5 linked regions of the Daphnia pulex genome follow. The protein of the gene in region 5 purifies or fractionates together with the protein of the main gene of each other region. This does not show direct contact. Links are inferred from orthologs where the notes say so. Each region holds a gene or a part of one and is shown on either strand. Other genes may lie near its edges. The genes, in order: anaphase-promoting complex subunit 7-like, anaphase-promoting complex subunit 4-like, cell division cycle protein 27 homolog, anaphase-promoting complex subunit 2-like and anaphase-promoting complex subunit 1-like.

Region 1 (5,466 bases), on a different chromosome or scaffold from region 5:
AGATGCAGTCATTAGTATGTGTGGACATCTTTTTTGGTACAAGTCTAAGGAATGTTTCCATGTTTTCAGAGATTGTGTTGTTTAATTTCCCTGTTTTATTACATGAAGCTGGCCGTGCTTGCATCAGTGGCTGGAAACAAGACCAAACAGGCAGTCATGCCCTGTCTGCAAAGCTGCTATAAGCAGAGATAAAGTTATACCATTATATGGACGTGGGGGCTCAAAAGAAGATCCAAGAGAGAAATTGCCTCCTAGACCTCAAGGTCAAAGGACAGAACCAGAAAATACAGGAGTAAATATTTATATAATTTCACTACATTTCATTGTGTAAATGATGAAGTTGGTAACACATATTGTGTACCCTTACGCAAGTGTAAAATAAGAATAATATTTTTTTATTAACCATGACCAAACATTTCAGACTACTGAATCATTTTCTTTTTCAAATTTACTTTTTCAGGCTTTCTCGAATTTTGGATTTGATGGGGGATTTCAAATGTCTTTTGGAATTGGAGCCTTTCCATTTGGATTATTTGCTTCCACTTTCAACTTTGGTGATCCTGTTATTAGAGGTGAAGATACATTAGAAATCAATCAACCTGGTTAATAATAGTAAAAATCTTGCATAGGTCACGGAGCCCATGGAACAAATCCTGCAAATTTGGAAGACGAACGCTTTTTGTCACAATTATTTTTGTGGGTTGCAATTCTTTTTATCTTTTGGTTATTGGTAGCTTAAACTTGTGGTTCTTGGTTCTTCTGTGTTGTAAATTTTTTATTCTAAAGATTCCCGGGGTTTATACTTTTAATGAAGTATTTCTCGAAAATTTCCTAGACAGTGGATTTATATATATGAAAATTAAAAGTGAAATGTTCAGAGATTGCAAGTCTTGTTAAATGAAATTTTTCCCTTATTAAATAGATCATTCGTGAATAACATTTAAACCATATTTTTTAAAATGTGTAGAAAGGACTAGACTATATATTAATTAAATTAGTTGATCAATTGGTTGTACAAGCTGGTCATCAAGATATTCTTGGGGAGTGAATAACAAAATGAAAATAATTACAGTATACATGAAGTAATCCTCAGAGGACACCTGAGAGAACCAAATATGGAAAAGGTAGGCTAATTAATTTTTCATTTCGATGATAAAATCAATAGAATGCGGGAAGCGCTAATAGGATTATACTTTTTGTAGAAAATGTATTTTTGAGTGATTGTACAAATAAATCATGAAACTACCGAAATTGATCCAAGTTCATGTCGGCCCACATTCCACCCATAGGATCGATGTCGACTTCTTCAATGGTTGGCTTGAAAACGATAGCTTTTAACATATGCATATATTTTGTTTTTCACTTTAAATTGAATTTACCTCTTCATCAGAATCAGGAAGATCATCAGCTTCCAAATCCAGATGATTTTCTAGTTTAGCTACCAATGCGTTTTCAAGCCTATTGATGGCCTCAATGGTTTTTACGTTATTCGGTTCAAGCCTAAAATTACAAAGAAAAAAATTAAACACATGCATAGTATGTGAATATGCAAGTTAAAGTAAAATCAAGTGATAAAGATTCTCGTACATTAGTGCAGAATTGTACTGTTCCAATGCTTTATCCATATCTCCATTTTTTATGAATAGGTCTCCCAAAATATGATGTAACCTGTTTGTAGGTTGCTGATTTATTTGCTTAGTAAGCAGTTCAATGGCTTTTGATCTCTGGCCAGCCTGAAAATAATTGTAGTCAATGGTAGTTCAGTGAGTGGTTCTGTAGGATTGTACAGCTACTCACCTGCTCATACGAGTCGATTAAAAGGAATACAGCTGGAGTGTATCGAGGATCTACAACGGAAAACGTTATACAATTTTTTTTTTACACCGGAAACTATTCATGTTAATTTTACCCATGTTCAAAGCTCTTTCAAGGAAAACCTTGCCCTTTGCGGTTGTAACAGGATCCTTCAACAGGACGGATGCGTAGAGCTGCAAAGAGCAGTCAGCAATTTAATTAATGGCTCATTTGATAAAAATCTGCTTTAAACGAATGATTAACACGAAACACTGTAAAGAATGCTAACCGTGAAAGTGCGAGGTGTATGACCAATATGATGAAGAGAGCTAGCAGCTATATTCATGGCTTCTCGACTTCGCTGAAGCGCTAGATAACAGTGAACTATACCACGATAGATTTCGAATCGGTGCGGAGCTGTCTGTAATCCTTCCCTATTATCATGTTAAACTTGTTGTTAATATTACTATAATTTTTTTTTAAATATTACTAAAATTTAAAAAATATCTCAATAATTAAAAAATATATTTCAATAATTTTTTTTTAAACATCACAGGACTTACCTAAAATGTGTGATAGCTTCAGGCCATTTTTTAAGCTCTTGTAAAATCGTACCCTTAAGGATTAGGGGCTCTATCCCAGGGGTTGGAATGCAACATGTGCAAGCCTATGAGAAATATGTTTGCGCGGTTTTTAAAACTATTTGTAATAAGACCACATCGGCATTGCTATCTTACTTTATGCGCAAGGTACAGAGCGCGAGTTAGTTTGCGTGACAAAAGATAATGGTATCCCATGGCCACCTAATTTGATAAATTAAAATTAATACAGGAACAAGGGTAATTAGAAATAAAAAACAAATAATTTTACCCACGATTCGAAGCTAGAATCAGAAACAGAGATTAGCTTGAGAGCTAGTGCTTCAAGTTCAACACTTTTCTTTTCATTCGCTAAAATGACTGCTAAAATATCCATTCCTTTTAGCGACAAAGGATCGAGGGAATGCGCCTGAACAAACGCAAATATGAGATGAGCACCAGATATTTTTTTTCTCAAATCATTTAACATACTCGTTGAAGCGGTAGAAGGGCGCCCGCTCCATCCCCGGCCAAGAAAAGGGTTGTTCCTTGTGATACCAAATTTGTTACATCATCTTTGAGCAATGATGCATCTTGCAAATGGCAAAAAATGGTAGAAGCACTCAAATATTCACAAGAATGAAGATGGCACTGTCCTTTGATCCACTGAACAACCCTTCAGAATTTAAGGGAAAAAAACGAAAATAAACATTATTCAACAAAGATTTACATTTTATACATATGAGCCTACTCACCAATCTAAGTTATTTGATGGGTTTCCATTAAAAATTAAACGAACAAGTTCAACATAACTAACTCCAAGTTTAATCAAAGCCAATATAGCTTCTAGGGCCAAAGGACATTCACGAATAACCTCTTTAAAAGCAGAAATGGCTGGGCGTTCAAGCCCATTCATAACATACAACTTGCCTAAAGCCATATTAACCCTAACTGATCGTAGTTTGGCTGGGATCCCTTGAAGGACAAGAAGTGCTTGCACTGACTGTTTTAAAGCAAGGTGGCATATGTGCATTTGATAGCGAATCTCTAGAATTGTTATTTCAAACTTATTTAGGAAAAACTTGTTTATACTTTAAAACAGAACATCAAACCTGTTTCAGCTGAAAGCTCTTTGGCAGCACTATTTCCCATCCCCCTTTGTTTAGAAAGGGTTTTTCTCAGATCTAGGGCTTTTCTGTAATAAACTTCTGCTTTTCCATATTCCTTTTGTTCAAGGAATGAATCTGCAAGGTACACCATTGTTTGGGCAATGCTTGCAGGAGGTAAAAGCTCAGGATTGTTATCAGTAGCTGAAAGAACCATTGGAGCCTGTAGAAAAATTCCAGATATTCATTAGATTGGTAATTAGCATAGACTACACTACTTCGTAGTCTATGGTAATAGAATGAAATCTACACTGAACTCATTCCTATTGTCATACTCAAGGTAAAAGTCACCAGTAGCACTTATTCAAAATGGAATAATATGAGTTGTAGGAGTAGATACTACTGCCCAAACAAAAATATAAATGATATAACTAAAACATTTGTTAATATTTATAGCATTGCAATACAATGGTGACATTTAGCTATCGATAACATTCACGGAAAGCACAAGAAACTATATAGTTACCAGAGCAACAATATTTGTATAAAGTTTGTTATCAAACAACATTTGAATTTGCTCGTGAAGAATCATAATGACTAACTCTGAAAGTAATATATATACTCAAAGAGAAGAAAAAAACTATAACACAAACTTGATCAGCAGTCACCAATAAGAAAATCACAATATAAAGTGGTAAAGTGCAGAGAAGGGTTGGAAACGCGTAAAGTGCGGGATTATCGGTACGGAGAGACAACAAACAGCGTAGGCCTACCGGCGCACCAGCGTACTGAATGCTGAATCTACTAATTTCGTTAAAATTATTTAAAAAATTAAATTATTATCTAATCAAATTCAACATTCAGTAACAACATTCAATATTTTACTAACGTAAAACAATGTATATTTATTTTATTCCTTCCTCGACGAGAAACAGGAAAGAGAGATGCAAATAAAATTAAGTGGACGCTTTAATTTAGGGAGCAAAGTGTGGGAACATAAATATAAGAATAAAGTTATTAAAGGGAGGACGATGTTAGAACATGAACGGATTCATCATCGCCATTTGCTGTCGAAGCATCATCATTTGTTGCTGTCGTTGAAGCAAGAGCATTTGCTGCTGATGCATCATTTGTACGGCCTGAACGCTCATTGCCGCATTGCTCCCGAACGATGAATAAGGTAGACCACCGGCGACCATTGATCTATTGGGATCGGTGTAGTATCCTTGGCGGTTGGGGTTGCTTGAAGAGGCCAGATTGGCCAAACCCAAGAGTTGAATCAACGTCTGGTATCGTTGCAATTCCTGTTGGCTTCTGCTCGGCTGCTGCGCCAGGCTCATCTGAGAGAAGCCCAACTGTCCTTGCTGGGCCAACGGATTGACCATCATGGCAGCTTCCTGTTTCGTCACCGTCTGCTTGATTTGTTCCCAAAGCTGAGGACGCTTAGCCGGAGGCTCGTTCAGAAGCTGGGCCATCAGGATTTGTTGTTTGTTAAATTGCTGAGCTTCCGGTTTCACCTGCTGCTGGAGTACCTGCTGCTGGACCAAGAGCTGCTGCTTTTGCGCTTCCAGGTTCTGTTGAAGTTGCTGCAACTGTGGATTGAGCGCCGCTTGCATCACAGCACCAGGTTGGTGGCCGTTCACCATATTACTCTGATCTATAAATGCAAGAATGAAGGAAAAACAAGATAGAGGTCAATCAACTGATCAAACGGTTCTTAATGGCGTGAACGGAATTCGACTGTCATTTGTGTGTCACACGCATACATACTTGTTATGGCTGCCTGTGCTGTTGCAATCTGGTCTTGCTTGATGTGAACCGAAGCTAATAGACCCTGCTGTTGTTTTTGGTTCTGCAAATGGAAGTTTTCCTGTTTCTGTGCCTCCAGTTCGGAGGCTATGGACATGGGGTTGTTGTTGGAGTTGGTCATTTGCTGCAGGAGGGCCAATTGCTGAAGAGGACTTTGCATTCCGGCCGCGCTTCCACCG
Region 2 (5,658 bases), on a different chromosome or scaffold from region 5:
TTTTCTTTCAGGAATTTGTAACGTCGACTGAATCGACCCGCCGAGTTCAGGCGTGGCATGATATGATTCAACCGAGACTTCGTGAGGCCGAAACGCGTCGTGATTTTGATATTCACCTTTATGGAAGTCGCATTATAGAGGAATTCGGGTCTGATGCGCCTATAGGAAGCCAATGTGCTTTTACCAAAATTGTTCATGACCAACCGAAAAACGAAGTAGCCAGATATTTTCTCGCCACTCTGCAATTAGTAAGTTTCATAAAAGCTACAGTTCAATTTCGTTTTGATATGCAATTTTATTAACAATTATAGGCAAACGCTTACAACGTGGAAATTCAACTTCAAGATGCTTTAACTCTCGATGGAGTGGAACTAAAACTCCTATCTCGAGAGAGGCATCACGAACACATGGACGATTTCATCTGATGAACTGTCAGCAAGATGTTTGGTCCTAATAGTCCATCAGGGAGAGACGGCCATATCCACGTCGCTGATATCCTTTTGATTTCCTCCATCTTTTGATATATCTGCGATAAAAATGCCATTCCATTAACATACCTTGTTAATAATAAACAATTTGAAAGTTAACCAGGTTTTCACTTTTACGTACCGTGCGATAAGTCTGAAACATCCTCAATGTCCTGATCCTCGTCTTCGACGTCTTCTTCCTCTTCAACTTCCATGTCAAATATGCGAACCTTCCTTTTTGACGAAGAAAAGATAGCGGCAACCTTTCGACTGGACGATAGACCGAGGGTAGTAGCCTGAAAGTCGTTTAAGACACGAAACGAGCTTGCTTCAATAAAGGTATTGACATCCACTGATCGAAGATTGCCTTGGCTGAGAACTGATGAAACGAAAACGTCTGAATGGAAGGACGAGTTAAAAGGTCCTCGCCGTGACACAACGGGAGCCAAATGTTCGCGTAACAGACATAGACTGAGTTGTACGAAGATGCTATTCGTGCTGCGTTCGATCGAAAGCAAAACTGACATAATCTCGTTGTTATAGAACTGCAGATCAGCTATTTTATATTCGCCAGGAGGTAGATGGTCGCACTTGCCAAAGGAGAAGAATGCTGCTCGAGTCAAGTTCTTACGTTCCTTCTCGGAGGCGAATTCAAACAGGTAAAATCCTGAAGAATGAGTGGTCGAATTTGTCAAGCCAAGAAGATTACACCGATCTTTTGGTTGGTTGATGGATCGTGTTGTGATTCTGATCTTGTCCAGACTGTCCGAAGGACAATCTAACGTCAGGTCGGTGATAAACGGCAACGACGCAGTCTGTCCAACAGCTGAAGGGATAGCTTCGAAACTGGCTTTGACCTGATGTTCCAAATGGGCGAACTCTTGAGCAAGAGAGCGTTCAGCACGGGGTTGAAATAAGTCCGAGTCCTGAAGATTCGCAATAGATGGACAAGCTTCTATCAACATGTCCCAGGGTCTAGTTTTAGAGCTGGCAACAAAAGTCAACGGCTCATTCCTCAAATATTGCCCAATACGATCCAGACGTACTTGTCCATCGGTCTCAAAATCTTTGGCGAGGAAGTTGGCGATAAACCGTACATCTTGCTGGGTACTGGTGGCAAGCTCGGGTGGGATAGGCTCGTCCGAGAGGCGCAAGATGGTAACGTAAAGCCAGCGGAAGAATGTCTTGAGGTACTTGACAGAACCATCGATCACCTGTTGAAGCTCAGCGGTTTTGGCGGTAAAAGAGCCGGCCGCCCGGTATGCAGCTAAACACGAATTGACTTGGAGGCCGAGGCATGAGAAACGATCTTCTTGTTTGGCCAGCCCGCAAAGTTGTGTCAAATAGTGCGACAGTTGGTAGTTGGCACACACGATGTGTTTGATGAGCAGTTTCTGCATGTTGCTATAGGATAACTCTACGGCTTGGCCGATTCGTTTCAATCCTTTGTCAGTCAAATCGGTAACAAGAAATTTCTCCAGCTTGATCCCGGCGTGGCCAAACATCAGGAGCTCCATCAAGTCGACAGATAAGCTACTCTTGCCGTCGTTGCTTTCATAGCGAACCATTTTCGATTCGAGGTCGACTAGTGCATCCTCCCAGGCTTCTTGTAGAGCTTTCTGAGCACTGATTAGGCAGTCCATGAGGCCAGTTATCTGCCGATAGAGAAATCCTAGACCGTACAACTCTTTCAAACAATGAGTTATGAGTGGGGTTTCCACAGTCATGAGTAAAACTTCTGAGGATCCGGCACGAACATCGGCTAGTAAACACAGTTGGCTGTGATCACCATTCGGGAAAACACTTCGTACAGGTCCGATTGAATCGCTCCCACCACTCATTTCTGAAAGTTTTAGAAGGCAGCAAGGAAAGAGTCCAAAGGCGAATCCGTAAACTAACCCATTCTTTAGTCCAATCCACAAAATGCTCAGTAATTCTTCATGTTTCAATCCTTTGTCGCCATCAAGTGCTGACCCAGCATCTAGCTTTGAAGAGTTAACTTTCAATGGTTGAGGCAGCAGTTCTGGCAGCAAAAAATTGTCTGCCTCTTCTTTCACACTTGTGCTGCAGTTTTCCCAGGAAAGAGCTGTGATGGGTTCCTCACATGGGTTGAATGTGTGTACTACTTCTCCAGATTCAACGTCAACTAGAACCACATGCCCAGAACTGTATCCTACAGCTAGTATCACACTGTCTGGTCTCCAAACGATCGCTGTGACTTTGACACCATCACCTCTTTTAGAAAGCTTCCAAACTTTGCTCCATGACAACCTTCTCAGAAAAACCTCACCTACAAGAAAATAACATACAAAACAAATTTTATTATCATAGTAACACAATGGGAAAAAGAAGGATTGCAAGTTTTCACCAGAGCTGTTTGAGACGGCAATCAGATCTCGTCTGGAAGACCACAAAAGGATTTCTGTTGACGCAGTTCCAAGAATGTGTTTTTCGTCACTCTGTCTCATCATACACGACACCATTTTAAGCTGATTGTGTTTTTACACGACAATCTCGATTAGACAGAAATTAAGGAACATGTATTTACAACTTTTCGAACTTTTTTTCGGTTTCTTCTCTAGGCAACTTGAGTACATCTAGCGGTCGATTTTTAAACTGCCTGGAAACATTCAGATTTGAATTCTACCTTTTTATTACGTGTTACCTTCAAGTGTTCAACGTTATTCGCTTTTTATTTCAGTCACCACTGGAGGCCAATTGTATCGCATGGCTCTTGACGTCCATGGCTGTAGTTCGTTAACTGAATAAATAGCCACACAGTGTGATAGAATGTCTCCCCAAATTTATTTTTTTAAGGCATTTGCCGCCGCATCTTTTCAACAAGCATAAGCTCGTCTATCCGTAAATGGATGCGAAATTGAATTCGGGTTTCTGGCAAATAGGATAATCTCTTGGCCAAACAGAAACCCAGTTGATAACCTCACCACGTAAAAAATGAGCGCTATTCTTAGGCATCGAGGATTAAGCGAAGCATCGCTCCCGTGCGTTCGCGGGTGCTAAAGAAATCGATCGGAAAATAACGAACTCCCTTTGCGACACGATTATTTACCTTCATGAGAGTTTGCTCTGTTTTCTGCTTGTCTTGTCGCCGGTCGTTGATAATAATAAAACGTCATGCTGCTATATACAGTAGCAGTTGCCTAATATTTTACCGCACTTAGCCTTAGGAAAACGTGTGGGCGTTGACGGGGTCTCCCATTTCGTGCAATGTGCAGAAGCTCTCACGCGCGGGGGGAACACTTCTGCTCCTTCGGAGTGGCACAACATTGATTCATTATTTATTCGTTATCAGCGAATTTGTGCTTTTACGTCTAGACGATTGTGTTTTCGTAGCAACTTGTAAACGAAATAAAAAAAAACACGTAGTCAGATGGGAGAAAGAAAAAGTCGATATCCAAATAAGAAAAATCATCTTCTCTAAATGTATATTGTACCAGTACCTAGCCTATATAGTGCTCCTGAAGAGGATGAGGAGCAACAAGAACTTCGATTTCCACACAACTACTTTCTTTTGCTTGCTGACGTTCTCCTGTTCACACAGTTCAATGATTGTGGATTATGCGTATCAGTGCTCGTTATTCGTTGGACTCTAGAGACTGGAAAAAAAGGCACGATTATGGAGTTGGATCTTATTTGTATTCAATGCAGCAGTCTAGCGGGACCACCAACGTTCTGGTCGGTTTGAGGTGACTCCGGGGGGACACTGCGAACGGCGGGGTAATGCATAGCAACCACCGTCGATATAGACTCGAAATAATAGGAGAAAGGAGAGTTCATCCGTGCCTAGCCAACAAGCAAGCTTCATCCTATATTCAACAGAGATTGAATATTATTCCAACATTCTTTTTTTTAGGCGATTCGGATTTGTTGTCTTTACTAGTTCCTATTTTTAGTCTGGCAGTGATTTTTCCGTTATTTGACATGACCGTTTGTATACATGACTGTCGGGCCGAGATTAGATCATTGGTTTCGCTTTGACCGAATGTGAGACGCTTGAATCGCGCGTTTCTTGATGCAGGCCGACACTCATCAATTCAACGGCAATCGCGTAATTCTCCTTTCCATTCACCAGATAAGCAAACAGCACAGACTATTCAACACAAGGACAAACAGAAGAGAAAACGTGGAAAGGAAAGCGTAGGCGGAATAATATCAATTTTCTATCCCCTTTTCTTTTCCGCATTTTCATTTTTGATGTGCCTTTGCCTGTTTTTAAAAGAAAAATCAATGTTTAAAAATAGAACATAGTACCGCCGTCAATGTATTGCATGATCGATCTAATGTGCCTACGTAGATATCCTTAATGGAACCCTTTTTGTCCAAGTTTTTGTCCTTTTGTTGCTTCTCGACTCGCAAAAAGAAAAGAGCCTGGTAAAAAGAAATCAAATTTCCCCAGCTATATTAAGACTTTATATATAAACGTCCGCTACGTATTTCCTATCCAGAGTTCACGTTTAAAAGCGTCCATGTAGAGCATAGACTTTACCTATACAGTAGGTGTATTGGGTGCACGGGTCTTAATGACGTACGCCCACCCAAGTGTCGTACACCTCTTGATCAAAACCAGTAAGGTCTCGTTTCCCGTTGTGAACTTCAGTTATAGCACAACATTAGCCTTACTCGTTTGTTGTCGTATAAGATACGATCAATGGGCGCATCATCAAATCACTGTCATCGACGAATCGTTTGTTTGACAACGCCAAATTATAAAAGTCGAGCCGGATTCTGTACTCTTCACGTAACGCAAGTCACCGAGTTAAACGAGGTGACGTCAAACTTCGTCAGCGCCAAAACTGCTATACGTGTTTTACATGCTAAAGTCAATCCCATCATTTTATTTCAATCAAAATTACTATATAATCAAGGGGCCTTATAACGGAAGACGAAAACCAGTCGAAACTAGGTCTTTCTCATAACAGTAACTTACGATTGGCATTAAATTTAACCCTTCAACATTTGGGTCACATTTCTCCTATGAAGAAAGTAGATTCTTCTCCTAGGACACCAGAGCAACATCGGACACGGATGTCACTCCCTGCCACCTGATACAGGTTACATCCCATTTTAATTGGATTAACGAACCAACACCCTAGAAAAAGTTCGGAAGAAGAATAAAGAATGTATGGGGAGAGACGAGAAGTTATTACAACTAGTTAAACAAATGGATCGC
Region 3 (5,735 bases), about 1.2 Mb from region 5:
ATTAGAGAACTAGTAAAGTTTGCCTTACCAATTTAGGGACTACGTCATCTTTGACGGTGGCGTCATACACAACGTTGTATTGCATGGCCATAGGACGTCCAAGTTCAAGTGGTCGAGATTCGGTAGGAGGAGACACCCAGTAGCACGTCAAGTGAGTGGTCGACGTTGATTGGCTAGGTTCCGCGTGATGGAACGGTGCTGAATAAAAAAGTAAAGTGAACAGGTAATGATAACATATAATAGTAAGGAATATTTCATTACATGAAATCATCGCTACGCAAGGTCGGTAACCTTGATCACCAGTTCCTTTGAGTTTTAATTGATACTCGAGTTGTGAATCAATATCTTGCACAGTTGGAGTGGGCGGTGATAAAGGGTGGCTATGATACCATCCTACCAAGCAAAGTCCAGCACTCTCTATTGATTGAGCGATTTTGATTTCGGTAGCTTGGCCTCGTTTATCATCAGTCGTAACTCGATTTAAACAAGGGAACGCTTGTTTAATCGTGAGTGCTAAAATGAATCACACAAATTATTGTGGGTATGTGTTTTCTAAACATATCAGTTAGCACTCACTGTTCGTGTTAATGTCCCATTGGCCTGCTAAATATCCAACAACTTCTGAACGCGTTAGAGAGCAATGAACGTCCATTACAACAAGAGCAGTCGTGTTTAACGATATTAGAAAAGGTTGAAGTTTCCCTATATTTGCGAACGATATGGCTTCAACTAACAAATTTGGATCCCTGGTAACGAAACGACAATAAGAAATAGAAACTAGAAACAAACTCCAAACTTAAAATAATTGTTTTGTCTACTTACTCGATACTTGTCCTGTTTCCTAGCGTTTCGTGCTTTATAATTTGTCGATCACCGACAGTTTGTTTCATACTCATTTGAATTACTGGTTCAGGTTCCAGCAGTACAGGCTCATTAGTGGACAAATTACAATCATCAGGAGTCGAGTTGTCGCTAACCTGTTCTAAACGTCGTTTACGCATCCATTGGTTTTTATATACATCCAAAGGCCTGCCACAATATCGTACCTACATCATTTAAAAATCTGAACTAAATTTACTGAACTTGATAACGAGAATTTAAACATATTTTATGCTTACTGATGACCAACCACAACCATATTTCTGTTCGGGATTAACAATTTTTTTGCAGCGCAAGGCCCACGCCGAGGGTGAACTAAAGACTTCTTGAACTTCAGCAGAAAAAATTTTTCCATCTGCCAGTAAGTCCCCATTAAATTTTTGTCCCTAAATAAATTCACATAGGGAATAGAAGTTTTAAACTTGGAAGATAAGAAATCTAAAAGAAATATCGTATAATGTTTACCATGTACTCTAGTGACATAGCACCTTCTTTTGGTTGAAGGATGTTATCTTCAAGTAACATTTGCAATGTGACTCCTCTACCAGTAAATCCACCAGCAGTTTTGGACTTTTTCTCATTCAGTTCTTCATCTTCATTGCCATCCATGTTATCCTGTAATTTTTGTCATAAAATTGTTATTCATTGGAATTTTAATAGCACAAAGTATTATTAATTAATTACCTCTCCTTCCATTTCAGGATCTAATGTTGCATTGTGGGTTTCAGACATGTTACATTGCTCATTTGTGTGTTCAACACTAACTGATGTGATCTTTTGTTGTTCTTGAGGATCTGCTTGATCACTAATACTTGAGTCTTCTGATGCTTCAATCATGCTTATGCCCTGTATTAAGAACACAGCTTTAATATTGCTAAACAAAAGGTTTACAACTAAAAAGAATTAAATTTGAAAAATATTTGTTTATTTGAAGTAGATTAATTGAAAAAAGGACTATTAGAAGAACTAAAAAACACTTAACTAAAAATTCATATTTTAGAATTACGCGCCTTTTTTATTAATTGTTATTAAAAAAACGTCTGATTTACCTATTCCAGTACCATAATTACAATTACAACCACGTTATTTCGAACAATCTAGGCCAAATGACAGTAGTTAATACATTGCAACACTTAAATTTACCTGAATAAATAACTTGTTGACAATTTCGAAAGCAAATTGTCCAAGTGCGGTTTAATAATAAGATTGATAAAACTGACCGTTGAAATGTCAAAAAATGTCAAAACTGAAGCATCACGATTTGAATCAATTCATCGAATATCGTAGATTGATCGATACTTAGTGAAGGCGATACAGCGATACTCGAAACGGTTTGGTTAAAAAGAGGAAGGGGCAAAAAAAACTTTGTGTTACATTAAAACGTAAGCTCCGACGGCAATTTGGTGGAATTATTTTGACTTAAATTGATTTCCGTCCATGGGAATTCAAACTTGATTGTATATCTTCATAGATTTCATATGTTAACTCATTACTAGTCAACATGTTGGTACAAGAACCTGTCCAGGTTAGTAACATGTTAATCAATGATGTTTAGTGATCTAAAAATTGCATATATTTAGGGTGTACAATGAAGGGGGTTTCTTTGTATGCCAGTTTTTGGTTCATTTTCAATAATGGTTAAATTTTTCTAAAATGCAGGCGGCTATCTGGCATTGTCTTAATCACTACAACTATTGGAATGCTACTTTTCTTGCTGAGAAACTTCAGGATGAAAGTATTATGTGTATACTTAATTTGTAAAGGTTATTTTTCCATAAATCTTATGTTTCTTTCAGTTAATAATGAGGAAAGCTTGTATCTTCTGGCCACTTGCTACTATCGGTCAGGAAAAGCGAATCAAGCAAGAAGTTTACTGCAATCAAAAGGAACTCAGTCGCCACAATGTCAATATCTGTTAGCCAAATGTTGTTTAGATCTGAATAAGTATGTGGTTATTCTCATTGAAAATAATTAAAATCTAAAGAATGTGTTTTTTTTTAGGCTTGCTGAAGCAGAAGGAACATTGATGGGTGGAAATATTTTCAAACAAAAATCTTTGGATGATGTTGTGACTGAATTTGGAGATGCTGCTGCTTTTGCCCTAGTTTTGTTGGGTCAAGTTTACATGCAGACAGAACGAAAGTTCAAAGCTATAGAAGTACTCAACAGAGCTCTTAAGCTTAATCCATTCCTGTGGGCTGCTTTTGAGCTTCTTTGTCGGCTTGGTGAAAAACCAGATGCAGAAGATGTCTTTCAGTTAGAGGGATTGGATAATTTCTCTCATTGTCATGGAACAAACCCAATAGCTTCATTGATCACTGCTCAGATCAATCAATCACATGATGCAACCACTAAAGTACATCCTCATGAACCAATGTCTGTTGACCAAATCTCCACTCCTATACTTCAAGTCCCTGCAGCTGATGTTATAGTAAACACAAGGTAAACATGGCATATTATTTAAAACACAAATTATTTTGAGATTTAATCACCATTTCTTTACACAACTTGTGTATTTTACTATATTTCTAGCACTCCCCTACCATGTGTGCCTCTTATTCATCACAATATACCTAATTTGACACCAGATGATCAAATGATTCCCTCTATACCGTTGACGAGTACCATGGCTCCAACACGTTCCAGAGCACGGTCGTTCCGGCTTCGATCAGTCTTTAAAGCCGGTCAAGCGCTGTCTCCCATGTCCCCCAAGTATAATTTAAGTTTCCATTCACTTGATGACACTTTATTTAATTTACGTAATTTAGTTTTGGCATCATACCTTTGGATATGTCTTCAGCAAGCGATGCTTCTCAAAGTTCGATGGTCTATTTGTGTCCCTCGCTAGCCCCACCGGTCTCTGAAACAAAAGAAGCAAAGATAATGCCTAAACGGGTATGATTTTTTTCCTTTTAAACAAATAATATAGAGTGTTTCATAATCTCTCCAAATGCTTATGCTGTTTTTAGTTGGGTGGTCGTCGTGAAGCAGCTAGCACTGCTCCAAGCGCGCCTTCACGTATGGGAGTTTTCTGCCAATCCGGAAATACAGCTACACCGACATTGTCTTCACCCCCAGCCGCTAACGTGAGGAGAAGTACACGACTTTACAGGTTTCAGTAACATTTGTGTATATATAAATTCGTATATTATTAATTAACGTATTCTATTTTGATCACAGTTCGAACAATTCCGTTAAGGAGAATAACAAAAGTAGCTCTCGTTTTGTTGTGCCCAAGTTGCCACTGAAGCGTAGCAAATCCAAACTTACTAAAGGTGATACCCCGGAAAGCGGATTAGCACCTATTAGCGATTTTCCAGAGCTAGTAGGAAAAATGGATAGAGAGGATGAGAAACAAGCTACCCTACCTACTCATTTAACTTCGGTGCAGACTCCACCATCAAATTTGATTCAAGAGGCAGTCCAAATGCAAAAGCAGTCAGCTGAAGGACTTATGTCTCTTCTTCGGATTGTAGGCAAAGCATTTTCACACCTGACTTCATATGAGTCTCGTCAAGCGATTGACACAATAGAATGGCTCTCCGCACGCCACAAAAGATCAAGCTGGGTCCTCTCTCTTATGGCTAAAGCTTACTTTGAACTGGCAGACTACAAGCAAGCTACTAGGTTAGTTTTACTTTTATCTTGTGTAACAGTTTGACAGGAAATTGACAGATATTTTTTAATTATTAAGGTTGTTTCAAGAAGTGCGTGAAATGGAGCCATATCGCACTGATCTGATGGAGTATTATAGTACTGCTCTCTGGCATCTGCAGCAAGAAGTGTCACTCTCGGCATTAGCACAAGACATGCTGGAACAAGACAAAATGTCAGCTGCGACTTGGTGTTGTGCCGGAAATTGCTTGGATTTGCAGAAAGATCGCGAACAAGCTCTAAAGTTTTTCCAACGAGCAATCCAAGTTGATCCTAAATTTGCTTATGCATACACTCTTTTGGGTCATCAGTATCTTGCCCTCGAAGAAACGGAGAAAGCCATGGATTGCTTTAAAAATGCTGTGAGAGTTGATCCTATTCATTATAACGGATGGTAAACCTTCTTTAACAAAGCAGCATTAATTGATTTGTTCTAACTTTTTGTTTGTGAAAAGGTACGGTATGGGAATAATTTACTACAAACAAGAGCGCTATTCGATGGCAGAATTTTACTTCAAGAAGGCACTGGATATCAATAAAAACAGTCCAGTGCTAAAATGCCACGTCGCCATTGTGGAACATGCGCTTCAAAGGACCGATAAGGCACTTCAAATGCTCAATTCAGCACTTCTAGTAGAAGAACGCAATCCCCTCTGCAAATTTCACCGTGCTTCTATTTACTTCGCCTGTGATCGACTCGATGAAGCATTGGCAGAATTGCACGAGTTAAAAGAAATTGCTCCGCGAGAAGCTCTCGTTTATTACCTTATGGGAAATGTATGACCAAACTAACGTCTTTTTAGTCTTTTTGTCGTATTTCATGTTACTCTTTGCTTCTTAGGTTTATAAGAAAAGAAACGAAACACATTTGGCGCTAACTTACTTTAGTTGGGCAAATGATTTGGATCCAAAAGGAGCAAGTGGAGCAAGACGTCACATCAAAGAGGTAATTGACCCCACTTCCTGTCTGAGCCTTGTTCCAGTAAGTGGAGTGTCTCAAGAACCACTTCAAGCCTCTATCAGCAACGATCAAGGTAACAATTAAAAAAAAAATCACTGCAGTTTTTCTGTTTTCAATGTTATCACAATTTTTACGCAGATGAGGGAAGCACCGTGGAAGGAGGCAATCACTCAGGAGCTAGTAACAATTTATCCAACGAGTCTCTGGAAATGCCCCCTTTGCCCACGATGGACAGCGGTGA
Region 4 (5,406 bases), on a different chromosome or scaffold from region 5:
ACTTCTTTCGTATACAAAGCATAGTGAAAAAAAGAGCATAATCGGACATGAAGAGAGCACGAAACACAAATCACACACTAATACGGTTTGTAGAAAACTTACGATGGTTTCATTTTCGAGCCTATTCGGTTCAGTACTTATGAACCCCTGTCAAATATTTAAAACGAATGAGGGATTTCAAAATGTAAACCGATTTGTCTGTGCAGTGGGCAAACTTTTTGGCCGTTGTCGATTGTCGTTTCATTCAAACTGAGTGCAGCATCGCCAAATCGCCAGGTGTGAATTCGAAATACAGCGTTGCCAGTAACCTGACTTATTTATGACATTGAAATTTGAAAATTCGAATACAAATATTAAACGTATTTTAACAACTTTTTATTTCATTACAGAGGTAATCACTTCAGAAAATTTATTGTAATGAATACACATTTTTAAATTATCATTAAAAAAATTAGTTCATGGTTTGGGGAGTCTATACATTCCAGAGGAGAAAGACAACAACTGTTGCTTAACTTTTGAATCAAGGAAATTTTTCAACTGTTGCAGAGTGCACTCTGCCCCACTAGAGCCTTGCATTGTAAACATTTTAAGCATCTGGTGAATACGCTCAACTGGAAGGGCTTCGAGATTTGTCAGCATGCCAACAACGTACGACCAATAAACTTGCAAACCATCTTCTTCCGTTTTTTTCTCACTATCTTCCTCGTCGTCATCTTCTTCTTCTTCCTCCATTTTCGCTAGCGTTTCTAAAAGAATCTACGAAAAGGACGTAATTGCAAAATACATACATTTGAGAAACGGTAATAACTTTTTAAGATATACCTTATGTCCTGTGAAATTTGGTCCATTTTCATCCACTTTGAAGCGATCAGTAGAAATTTCCTGGAGGACCCCGTGTGTTTGCCACACGTGAACTCGCCTTCGAAGATGAGACATTGGTAATTCCATTTCCTGGCTAAGCTCTTCCAAATCCCATTGATCCTTGTCTTCAAAATGAGATATGATGGCAGCCAAATCGGGCGGGACGGTGAAAGACACGCAACGGTGATTATCAAACTCCAGTTCCAGTTCCACAGAACCCGACTGAGGTACCCAATGCAGAGAACGACTCGTTTTCACCGTTTTATAGTTTTGATTATATTGTTCGAGCTGGTTGATGATTTTGATCGGCAACTTCATCGGTTTGTCCTTCAGCTGGTCCCAATACTGAGCTGATATAATCATAGCCGAAATCGGAAACTGGATGGAAATAAATAGAAAAAAAATTAACTTTTATTTATCGATGCGCTAAACGAATTAAAAACGTACTTCAGGTTTGTGCACGACCGACTGTAGGTGGGTGTTGATTCTCTTGGAGTCTGCCACGTCCTTGAGCATCACTTCGCAATTGTGCAATTCGTTTTCTCCAAATCGAATTTTGAGAAATTCTAAATTACGAATCTCTTCTTCTGTGTCAAAATGAAGGTTCAGGAGCAATCGATCCGACAAAAGCTTGCGATATTCCTTGACAAACAGGCTTTTACTGCCGTAGATGTTCACCAACATTGGTACAATATCGCCCTTTTAAATAAGAATTTGTTTTACAGAACCGAAACTATTTTAAAAACATCTTTATTAACAAGATGAAATTACCGGCTTTTTTCCTGTCCAAAGTTTGCTAGGATCGGCATCGCTTGGTGCTGGAAGCCAATTTTCCCAATCGGTTGAGGCTTCGGTATCTCCAACTGCTGCAACAGATTCTTCATCCAGTATAGCAGTTCCCGTTCTTCCCAACTCAAGCTCTCCGCCCAGCTCTCCGCTACTGTCAGTCAAACTGTGAATTATATGCCGAACAGTGTCTCCTCTAAGTCGCAAATATTGCCTGTTGGAAATAGTTGAATACATCATAAGCCAAAAGTGACGGATCGAAATTGAATAATAATAATACTTGATCGGATCACACGCTACATCGAGAAGCACGCCAGTGGGATCAAGTACGCTAAACGCTCTTATGGCCGATACGTAGGCGATTAGTATGTCTTCTGTTGTGGCTCCCTGGTGAAGCAATCTTGCTTCTAAAGTCGTTTTAAGAGACTGCGCCAAAATTGGTTTCAACTGCGTCCGTGAAAGGCATTCCTGTAAATCCTTTACCGAAGGAAAGCTCTCGGGGTAGCCTATTACAAGAAAGATTATGAAACAATGAACACAATACATGATTTGGAATTGACGAACCGATAATGATCTCGAATAACTGTTCGATTCTAGCGTGTGTATAGGCGTGGTACAGGAATTGGGTAAAATTTTTTCGCACTTGATCCTGTTGGATGTAGTCTTCTCCATAGACGATACCTAACCACCGAAAAATTATGTTTTGCAACCACTGCAAATGGTTCAGAACAAGAAACGAACAGGGTGATTCAAATGCCCATTAAGACCATTAGCACATTAATAAAATACCTTTTCAAGCATTTCAATTTGAGAAGAGGAAAAGTTTCCTACACATGAATCCTGGACATGTGATTGGATTTGAGTCAAAATGAGAGTGTGAATCATCCCCACAGATAGTTTCTCAAGTATTCCTATTTCAGCCAAAGCCCTAAAAAAATAAATATGATCAAATGTGCTGAAACATAATCAAAGAGAAAAATGTTTTTTTTTTTTACTTGTTGGTGTTATGACAATTGTCTAGAATGACATTACATTCACATTGATCAATTTCTTGGTCACACCCTGAACAGTGAGTGATAACATCACCAGACTCATCTCCATCTTGAGTAGAAAGATGTAAATTAAAAATTCAATTATAAACCTACTTTAGAACAAGTATAATACCAAAGTTAAAATTCCTTTTTTCTAAAGACATGAATGCTCTGAAAGCTCGGCTGTAGAAGAAATTCACACAGCATTCAAACTTTGGTGGTATCTGAGACAGCAAAATTGCACTGAGGTGTGCCTGATATTGGGCGAATGATTTTGGCGTGACATTTCCTGACAGGTGATCCAACAAGGAAAAGTAATGCTGAAGGCTTTTAATGTCGGTGTTCAGAACTTTAACAGCCTCCCTATAGTTTTCGTAACCAGAATTTTCATTCTGAGTCACTTCAAATCTGGACCAAAAATTAGGGGTTATCCTATTTCGTGTGTCATTGAACAGCTTCTGCCAAACCAATTCCTTGCTGAAGTCTACCAAATCATGGTTAACAATGAATTCTGCACATCCTTCAATTTCGGTTCTGTCTAATTCCTTCTGCATGTAAAAATTCAAACGGTGAGCGTGAAACAAGAGTAATGAAACAAATCTACAAGTAACAAAAAAAGAATCATACTTGACATTTTCCATCAAGGTTCAAAGTTTGTTTCAGATAGTCCCAAGCAGATGAAACTGGCTTCACTGTGTTCATTTCGTGCGAAAATTTTGGGTTTTAACACGCTCTTAGAAAAAGATACAATTTTCATAAGAACTTCAGTTCAGACAAAAACAGAAAATTGTTATTTCAAAAAATTTGCTAATTTCGTCTGCTGGGCTACAAATGTCCACCCGCCAAAATAAAAGAACGACAACTAGAGACGACTGGTGGTAACTATATGCACCAGAACTAAGGAGGCGTCAAAAAAAAAAAATACTTTTCCGGATATAATTCTACAAAAAAGCTTTGGGGCTTTAAATGTCCACCTTCAGTATTTAAAAAAGATAATAAATTAAATATAAGTTCAAACGACATGAACATACACATTCAATCTATTAATTCGCGCAAACATCACGCTTCGATTTCACCCGCGGTCGCAGGGTTGAGTCGCAAGTTGATTTACAAGTAACAATTCTTCATCAAAATGTATAAACTAGCCAGCATCTGGTGCAGCACGAAGCTGATGTCATTTGATAATGTGCAGCATCGCTGCCCGGCTCCATGTGATTAATAAATATGCTGCTGGAAACGTTCATCGGCTGCTGGTCAGAGAGTCTGCGGTGTATAAAAGACGAACGATTTCGCAGCAGCACTCTTGTGCTGTTGCCCATGAAATCCAAATAGTATATATATAGTAGGATGATGTGCCAACTCAACCGGGTTCGTTTTTCTCCTGGAAAAGCCACACACATACAATTCACATCTGCCAAAAGCTAACGGTTTATTCTTTCTGCCTTGCGATGAGAGTCCGGGTGTTGCGACGGCGACGGTGATTCACATGACTGGAGTTGACAGCCAACGACAGCGCGACGGTGGTGGCGGAGTCGACAGTTATTGGCGCTCTTATCTGACGACCCATCAGCAAAATACACCGTGAACATGATTAAGATCATATAATAAAATCATAAAAAGAAAAGAAGAGCGATAGGAAATATCGAATCGTATAACATAGTTAAACGTTTTAAAAAAGAAAAGAAACGAAAGTTGATGGCTTTCATTCTCGAATATTCACGCAGCCGTGATCATCACAGCTATTATGCACAGACACGCCAATTATTGTGAAAGAAAACATCACCGAGAATCGATTTGGATGGGAGGCAAAGCGAAAAGAAGTTGGAATTGACCGGGGCAATGATCATCATCATCACGATGACCCGCGATGAAAATATTTCTTTCTAGGTATTTATTTTGAACGCGTTCATCTTTCACGAAGAGGAGGGATTAGCGGAGGACGGAAGGAACTTCATTTGTGTCTTAGCTAGATAGGCGAAGATATAAGAGAATATCTATAATTTAACTCGAGTTAATCTAGAGAAGGCGGCGGGGCTGGCGGTCCGTTGACCTGTTCACGCACCAGCAGCAGCACCGCCGCGTCGCTCCCGCGCCAACCGAGATCCGACCGACCGACCATCCACCAGACATGGAAGAAACGGGAGGGAAAAATCGCCATCCGCATCACACGCAGCCCATTCGGACACAACCTCCTTTCCTATTTATTCGGCTATACATATCATCAGTTTCAGTATACTATAGGCTTCTCTCTCTCACCATCTCTCCAACTCCTCCCGATAGTTATAAGTCTACACTGCTGGTCTTATTTTAGCGTCACGGAGTTGGCCGGCCGTTTACACAGGAAGGAGGCGGAAAAAACATCCGCCAAAAGAAAAGAAAAAAGACAAAAATTACCTCAAAGTCGTTTGAGATAAGCTGTATGTGATTAAAACAACATTTTTAAAAGAAAACAAGGCAATATAACGATGAAACGTTCATTATGTCTACGATTGGCCGAATCATTTCAAAGAAGCAAAAGTATTTTTTTTAATATTTATGGAGTTGTCGGCAACAGCCAAAAACTTCATTTTTTCGCCACTCACGTTGGCCATCTGGTCGTCGAGCCGTGATGGTATTAAGTGAAAATGCTGCTGCGGTGGTGTTTCTCAGCTCTGCCACATTGCGATGCTGTACATATATAACATTCCAAAATGCATAGAATTATGGCGATTCGTGATGATGAAAAGGA
Region 5 (5,747 bases):
CTTTTAAGAACATTGCTTCCACCGTTATGCACCTCGGCTTTGGTGGAACGTTGTTTGAGTTCATTGCGAGCCGCATTACCTTCTGATATTTATCTGGCTGTCGCTTCTAAATTTTATTGTGTTCGTAATGCACCTGGCCCTTCGGACTTCTCTCCTCCAGCGGAGTTTGATGCCTTCCGTTCTACGCTCCTAACTTTATTGGGATTCGACGCCAAATCACTGGATATATCAATTTCTTCTATTGCCAGCCCCATTATTGAATCGAAGAAAAGTCGGACAAATTTGGAAGAAGGAGCCAACGAAGATTGGCAATATCTGGTGGAGTCACAATACGCTCGGATATTTTCCCAGTCGCTTGGATTAGATACTTCTCGCATCTTTAATCCCATCGGCCAGCAGTCGATGGTGCAAGTCACTAACGATTCGCCCTATTTCACGTATCTACCACACGTTTTGCTCGTGCTTCATCTACTCTTTGAGGACCTCAAGTTGGATGCCCTCTTGTGGAATGATGCCCAACTTTTGGTGACGCTTCTTATCCCTTTGGCTTCAGCTCTCAACTTAACGCAGTACTGTGATTCGTATTGGAGAGATTTCCCGCTCGTTTGGAACACCGCCAATATCAAACTGGGTGTTCTTCAACCAACGGATTTAGATAAACTCCAAGGGATGATTCAGCGAATAGAGGTTCCGTCCAATATTCACAGCCACCTGTTGGCGCTCATGAGTAAAAAGAAGATCCACAGCCCGTATCCACATGTAAAACTGGTCAATACTCGTTCCAGAGATATCATTACTCTCTTTGCCATCCTTTACGGAAGAGCGGATGAACATCATCTGGTGTCTGTTCACGAATACGTCCGCGATTTTGAATGGGTAGAACACACTGGCAGAGTTTCACTACCATTTAATGTTGTAGTTCCAAATGAGGAACGAAGACAGATCGCTTTGGTTTTAAAAATGTCTTCGTGCGGATGGACGCGGGAGGATCTCAACGCTTTACCAGCCGGAATAGGATTACCTTTACGTTATGCTCTGTTCCGTTGCCAACTAGATCCACCGACAGATTGGCCTGACGAAGCATACAAACTGATCAACCGACAAGACATGTGCCAATCCTCGGCTGGCTGCACTGTCCAGGTGTCGCCGTCAACTGCCCCGGAATTGAATTTAAAAATTGAAGCGCAAAGGAGTAAAACAGCCGGCAGTGGGGGTAATAGCAAAGACGACCATGCCGAAGACGGAATGGAAGAAGTAATTGAATTACCCATCTGGAAGTTACTTTTTCCTCGAGATCATCGTATCCAGGAAATTCGTCGTCTTCTTGGCTCTTCTCGACCAGTAGCTGTCGTCCTCCCAGCTTCGCAACAACAAGGACTAAGTGAACATGAATTGATCGAGGAGAGAGAGAAGCAGTTACTTGTACTTTGCATCCGTGTCATGGCCCTGTCTGTTGGCCGTGGAATGCTCACTCTTCACACTGCTACACCCACCGTCACGGAAACTTTGTCTATTCCAAAGTATATTGAAGAATTTTCTATTTTCTCTTCAATTTAGTTTAATCATTTTTCTTGTCGATTAAAGATTGTGTTTAAATGGTAAGACGCCTCACAATGGTGCGGCGGTGGATATGACGCACATTGACGTACCTGCCAATATGTCACTTTGGCCGCAGTTTCACAACGGTAAATCATTTTATTTGTGGCATGGAAAAATGTAACGTCAACTTCAATTTATTCGCAGGTGTGGCAGCTGGCTTAAGAGTGTCTCCGGATTCAAAATATGTCGACAGTAATTGGATTAACTTGAGCCGTGGTGGGAATCGTTCAGGAGCTGCAGTTGGATCAGCTCCGGGAGAGTTAAACGCCGAAGTGGCTGGTTTCCTACTAGGACTAGGAATAACTGGACATTTAAATAAATTCAGCGACCTTGTCATTCACGAGCACTTAAACCGCGACCATGAAATGACGCAATTGGCATTGGTGTTGGGTCTTGGCATAGGAAAGCGTGGCTCTATGGAAGCGGATACTCTTCGAATAATCTCTGTTTACGTCGAATCTTTGTCACCTGCTTCGTCATCCAGCAGCAACGGTTGCGGCGGGGGCTCGATTGAAGTGCCCCAAAATGTCCGTGTGGCTGCCCTCATGTCCATCGGTTTCCTCTATCAAGGATCGGCGCATCGCTACATGACAGAAGTGCTCCTGGCTGAGATTGATCGACCACCTGGACCGGAGATGGATAACTGTGTTGATAGAGAGTCCTATTCTCTTTCTGCTGGTCTGGCTCTCGGCTTAGTGACTCTGGGCCAAGGCGGACAAATGACGGGGTTAGCCGATCTCCGATTAGCAGATACTCTCTATCATTTCATGGTGGGAGGAACGAAGCGCAACTTTAACACGTCCAATGCCCGCCCCAGAAGCATGACGTCAGCTAGCTACCAGATTCGTGAAGGAAACACAGTCAACGTGGATGTCACTGCTCCAGGAGCCATTCTTGCTCTCGGGCTAATGTTTCATCGGTGAGATTATTGTTATTAAGCGAAAAGAATTACATTTTAAGTGTCAACCCTTTAATACGATTATTGTTTTTAGTACAAATAACGCAGCCGCGGCCAAATGGATGGAAGCACCTGATTCACAGCAACTACTCGACTCGATAAGACCAGATTTTCTATTACTGCGCACATTGGCACGGGGGTTGATCCTGTGGGACGACGTAATGCCCACGCGCGATTGGGTCGAATCCAATGTCCCTCCTAATATTCGTCGCTATTCACTACGCAATCCGGGTGATCCTGACAGTCAATCTCAACAAGTCGATTACGAAACTATGAATCAAGCTTTCTACAATATCATGGCAGGCTCATGCTTTGTCCTGGGTTTGAAGTTCGCAGGATCAGCCAATGCGGATGCTTTCAACACTTTGTATCGTTATTCCAAAGTGTTGATCTCGCTGTCGGGTCGTTCCGTTGCGGAATGGGCTGGAAAAGCGACTCTTGAAGCCTGTCTCAACACTCTAGTATTGTCCCTTTCCATGGTCATGGCCGGTACAGGAGATTTGCAAGTTCTGAGGCTTTGTCGTCACTTACGCCTAAGGAGCGGGACCTTTAGTAATGTTGTTACATATGGATCACATGTAAGTTTGTGTGTTAAAAGTGTCTGTTGATCTTTAATCATCATTTGGTTATTTTGTAGATGGCGACTCATATGGCACTGGGATTCTTGTACATGGGAGGTGGCCGGCTATCACTTAGCACGTCGCCGGAGGCAATCGCTGCATTAGTATGCGCGTGCTACCCCAAATTTCCTACTCACTCAAACGACAATCGATACCACCTCCAAGCACTTCGGCATTTGTACGTTCTAGCAACCCAGCCCCGTTTGCTGATGCCTATTGAGATGCCCAACATGCAACCTTGCTACACTAACCTACAAGTGGTGTTTAATGACGCGGATAGCTCATCATTTCAGTTGCGAGCTCCTTGTCTGTTGCCTGAATTACGTTTTCTCCAGCGCGTCCAATTGTTTGATCCTCGTTATCGCAGCATCGTTTTTGATCGACAGCACAACTGGGGCAAGCTGGAATGCATTCTTCAAGGGAAAGACCACCTTATTGTTCAGCGCAAGGCCGGCTGTTTGTCATACACTGAAGATCCTACTGGTTTAGCGTCGTTAGCTACTCCGACCCTTTCGGCCTGGGCTATTCGTGCTTCGACGGTCGCCAATTTCACCACAGACAAGTTCGTCATATTCCTTTGCCGTCACTTTCTCGGCGCGTCAGACCGTGGCCAATCACAGATTCTTATCGAACAGGAGTCAAAACCATTAGAAACGCAACTTCGCCTTCTTAGTCTCATTCTTAATGACTGTGTTGTAAATGAAAAGACCGAGATGGTTAAACCATGGCTCCAGCTTCTACACAAATCTGATCAGAGGGACTCGTCAACTCTTCCGCTCTGGCAACTCAAGTTTCTCATCAACTTTCCCACGAAGAACTTGCCTGCCTCTGTTAATTCAACACCTTTCATCGATCCAGAAATGGTGCTGGCTCTTCGTCACGAACTTGAGTCTAGCTGGGATCACCTTGATACGGAATTGCGCACCAGCCTCAACACTTATCTGTCGGGTAGAGATACTCCCCGTGAACGATCGCAGTCGGTAAAGTTGGCCAACCTAACCGTGTTTTATGACCTTCCGATGCCGATGCCTGAATTGGATTCCGACCCCGTTTCACTGTTGCTTCAATCAGGAGATCAAAAACTAGCTGCTCGTTTAGCCATTCTTCTTCATCTGTGATGGTAAATTCATTGATAAAATAATAAATTATTTTAATCTTGTTCATGGATTTGATTGATGGATCAACTAAGTGACAAAGATTGCATAAATGAGTGATTTGTATTTTCCACTAACTTAAAGTTGCTCTTTTCTACTTGTTCCCCAACCAAAATGATATTTCTAGAAATATCATTTATAGGTATCACTGTATATAGATACAGTATTATGCGTGATTTATTTGAAGTATTAACTCGGGGAATATCAAGATTCTTGATCAATTCTTCTTTGTCAGTTCAATTTCTTCGCGTATTAGTTCAGACAAATTACGGAATCCCTGGAAGATTAAAAGCAAAAAAATCTTATAGAATTCATAGTTTTTTTAAAAAATAATCAATGTTTATCGAAAATACTCGATCAATGTTTTCTGGAGTTGGCAGAGAAAACGACGCCCTCATGTAGGGGCACGGCTGAGATGGATCCGTCATGAATTCTCGGCCAGGTAGTAAAATCACATCTTTTTTCAGGGCTCGTTCCATAATCATCGGTCGTGTGTCACTGATTCCCAAGCATTTGATCCAAAGAAACATCCCGCCTTGGGGTACGTTCCATTCAGCAAGTCCTTGATGCAGAAATATTACTTTACAGGTAAGCTTGTCGATATTCGGCATTTATTTCTTGATTTTTCAACCTGTCAAATGAGTTTCCGCTGCTTTGAGCATTATTTCACGCTGCTGAAGATAAAAATTCTGAACGCGATCAACGTGTCCCATGAAACCTTCCTCTCCCCACTGTTTTAGCAGTTCTGAGACTAGAACCTATTGTTTGTAATTTTCGGTTTCAGTTTGATTCTTCTCTTGTAACGTGTATAACTAGTTAACTACTGTACCTGAGACATAGATGACGCATGAATAACTGACACCTGCATGTGGTACAAAATTCGTTCCATGAGTGGACGAGGACCTGTGACGTAGCCAAGACGAATTCCGGAACTCAGTACTTTGGACAGTGAATCAAATCGAACGACACGGCCATCGGTGTCGATAGAAAGAAAACTTGGAGTCCGCTTCTGTAGAGAATCTTGTTTAGTTAACGTAATTTCAGGGGCGCTATTAAATGTTTCTTAGGGATAACCTTATCAAACTGTAGAAAATAATATGGATCATCCTCCAAGATAATTAGATCGTAATCTTTGGCAATCTGGTATATCTCTTGTCGTCGATCCAAAGGAATAGAAACTCCCGTTGGATTGGCTCCTGCAGGATTGACATACAACACCTGAAAAATATAACAGCCTTTAAATTATGCCTATTCAATTTTAACATGGTATACTTTGGGGATATCAGATGAAGGAGACTGAGCGTCTTCTGATTTCCAGTTGGTTTCCAAGCATTGCCTCAGTAGATCAGGAATCAATCCATTAGCGTCGCATTGTACCGGGATGTATTTTGGTTTGAAAGGATTGACCTGCAGAAT

What was found.
Region 1: the proteins of anaphase-promoting complex subunit 1-like (region 5) and anaphase-promoting complex subunit 7-like fractionate together in Homo sapiens (co-fractionation; 6 studies listed by BioGRID and IntAct, with this or other methods). This does not show direct contact. The link is inferred for Daphnia pulex from reciprocal best matches to the Homo sapiens genes ANAPC1 and ANAPC7.
Region 2: the proteins of anaphase-promoting complex subunit 1-like (region 5) and anaphase-promoting complex subunit 4-like purify together in Homo sapiens (co-purification; 13 studies listed by BioGRID and IntAct, with this or other methods). This does not show direct contact. The link is inferred for Daphnia pulex from reciprocal best matches to the Homo sapiens genes ANAPC1 and ANAPC4.
Region 3: the proteins of anaphase-promoting complex subunit 1-like (region 5) and cell division cycle protein 27 homolog purify together in Homo sapiens (affinity purification with mass spectrometry; 16 studies listed by BioGRID and IntAct, with this or other methods). This does not show direct contact. The link is inferred for Daphnia pulex from reciprocal best matches to the Homo sapiens genes ANAPC1 and CDC27.
Region 4: the proteins of anaphase-promoting complex subunit 1-like (region 5) and anaphase-promoting complex subunit 2-like fractionate together in Homo sapiens (co-fractionation; 8 studies listed by BioGRID and IntAct, with this or other methods). This does not show direct contact. The link is inferred for Daphnia pulex from reciprocal best matches to the Homo sapiens genes ANAPC1 and ANAPC2.

What each region holds. Positions count from the first base shown.
Region 1 is NC_060017.1:4,025,513-4,030,978, reverse strand, and holds anaphase-promoting complex subunit 7-like, read right to left. Parts: upstream 4,248-5,466; 5' UTR 4,071-4,247; coding exon 4,005-4,070; intron 3,702-4,004; coding exon 3,485-3,701; intron 3,420-3,484; coding exon 3,128-3,419; intron 3,049-3,127; coding exon 2,865-3,048; intron 2,803-2,864; coding exon 2,665-2,802; intron 2,598-2,664; coding exon 2,532-2,597; intron 2,462-2,531; coding exon 2,358-2,461; intron 2,229-2,357; coding exon 2,084-2,228; intron 1,989-2,083; coding exon 1,910-1,988; intron 1,848-1,909; coding exon 1,798-1,847; intron 1,734-1,797; coding exon 1,588-1,733; intron 1,501-1,587; coding exon 1,380-1,500; intron 1,318-1,379; coding exon 1,243-1,317; 3' UTR 1,191-1,242; downstream 1-1,190. Other genes in the region: E3 ubiquitin-protein ligase RNF185-like, read left to right, coding at 1-36, 109-292, 461-572, 630-739; myb-like protein K, read right to left, coding at 4,513-5,135, 5,249-5,466. UniProt on the Homo sapiens protein: Component of the anaphase promoting complex/cyclosome (APC/C), a cell cycle-regulated E3 ubiquitin ligase that controls progression through mitosis and the G1 phase of the cell cycle.
Region 2 is NC_060021.1:8,252,841-8,258,498, reverse strand, and holds anaphase-promoting complex subunit 4-like, read right to left. Parts: upstream 3,204-5,658; 5' UTR 2,951-3,203; coding exon 2,836-2,950; intron 2,758-2,835; coding exon 610-2,757; intron 588-609; exon of another isoform or gene 527-587; coding exon 462-526; 3' UTR 426-461; coding exon of another isoform or gene 312-425; 3' UTR 276-311; downstream 1-275. Other genes in the region: condensin-2 complex subunit H2-like, read left to right, coding at 12-248, 312-425. UniProt on the Homo sapiens protein: Component of the anaphase promoting complex/cyclosome (APC/C), a cell cycle-regulated E3 ubiquitin ligase that controls progression through mitosis and the G1 phase of the cell cycle.
Region 3 is NC_060018.1:4,688,689-4,694,423, reverse strand, and holds the start of cell division cycle protein 27 homolog, read left to right. Parts: upstream 1-2,181; 5' UTR 2,182-2,380; coding exon 2,381-2,404; intron 2,405-2,538; coding exon 2,539-2,614; intron 2,615-2,675; coding exon 2,676-2,823; intron 2,824-2,880; coding exon 2,881-3,321; intron 3,322-3,411; coding exon 3,412-3,591; intron 3,592-3,647; coding exon 3,648-3,774; intron 3,775-3,848; coding exon 3,849-3,991; intron 3,992-4,059; coding exon 4,060-4,506; intron 4,507-4,573; coding exon 4,574-4,927; intron 4,928-4,988; coding exon 4,989-5,310; intron 5,311-5,374; coding exon 5,375-5,567; intron 5,568-5,632; coding exon 5,633-5,735. Other genes in the region: MPN domain-containing protein-like, read right to left, coding at 29-513, 577-746, 823-1,046, 1,119-1,265, 1,345-1,494, 1,564-1,716. UniProt on the Homo sapiens protein: Component of the anaphase promoting complex/cyclosome (APC/C), a cell cycle-regulated E3 ubiquitin ligase that controls progression through mitosis and the G1 phase of the cell cycle.
Region 4 is NC_060023.1:8,674,224-8,679,629, forward strand, and holds anaphase-promoting complex subunit 2-like, read right to left. Parts: upstream 3,493-5,406; 5' UTR 3,381-3,492; coding exon 3,306-3,380; intron 3,227-3,305; coding exon 2,812-3,226; intron 2,749-2,811; coding exon 2,643-2,748; intron 2,576-2,642; coding exon 2,437-2,575; intron 2,360-2,436; coding exon 2,212-2,359; intron 2,154-2,211; coding exon 1,928-2,153; intron 1,862-1,927; coding exon 1,633-1,861; intron 1,561-1,632; coding exon 1,309-1,560; intron 1,240-1,308; coding exon 823-1,239; intron 757-822; coding exon 457-756; 3' UTR 354-456; downstream 1-353. Other genes in the region: kinesin-like protein KIF23, read right to left, coding at 103-113. UniProt on the Homo sapiens protein: Together with the RING-H2 protein ANAPC11, constitutes the catalytic component of the anaphase promoting complex/cyclosome (APC/C), a cell cycle-regulated E3 ubiquitin ligase that controls progression through mitosis and the G1 phase of the cell cycle.
Region 5 is NC_060018.1:3,471,039-3,476,785, reverse strand, and holds the end of anaphase-promoting complex subunit 1-like, read left to right. Parts: coding exon 1-1,520; intron 1,521-1,584; coding exon 1,585-1,685; intron 1,686-1,743; coding exon 1,744-2,518; intron 2,519-2,591; coding exon 2,592-3,135; intron 3,136-3,194; coding exon 3,195-4,295; 3' UTR 4,296-4,336; downstream 4,337-5,747. Other genes in the region: kynurenine/alpha-aminoadipate aminotransferase, mitochondrial-like, read right to left, coding at 4,549-4,608, 4,685-4,893, 4,963-5,089, 5,161-5,340, 5,406-5,549, 5,604-5,738. UniProt on the Homo sapiens protein: Component of the anaphase promoting complex/cyclosome (APC/C), a cell cycle-regulated E3 ubiquitin ligase that controls progression through mitosis and the G1 phase of the cell cycle.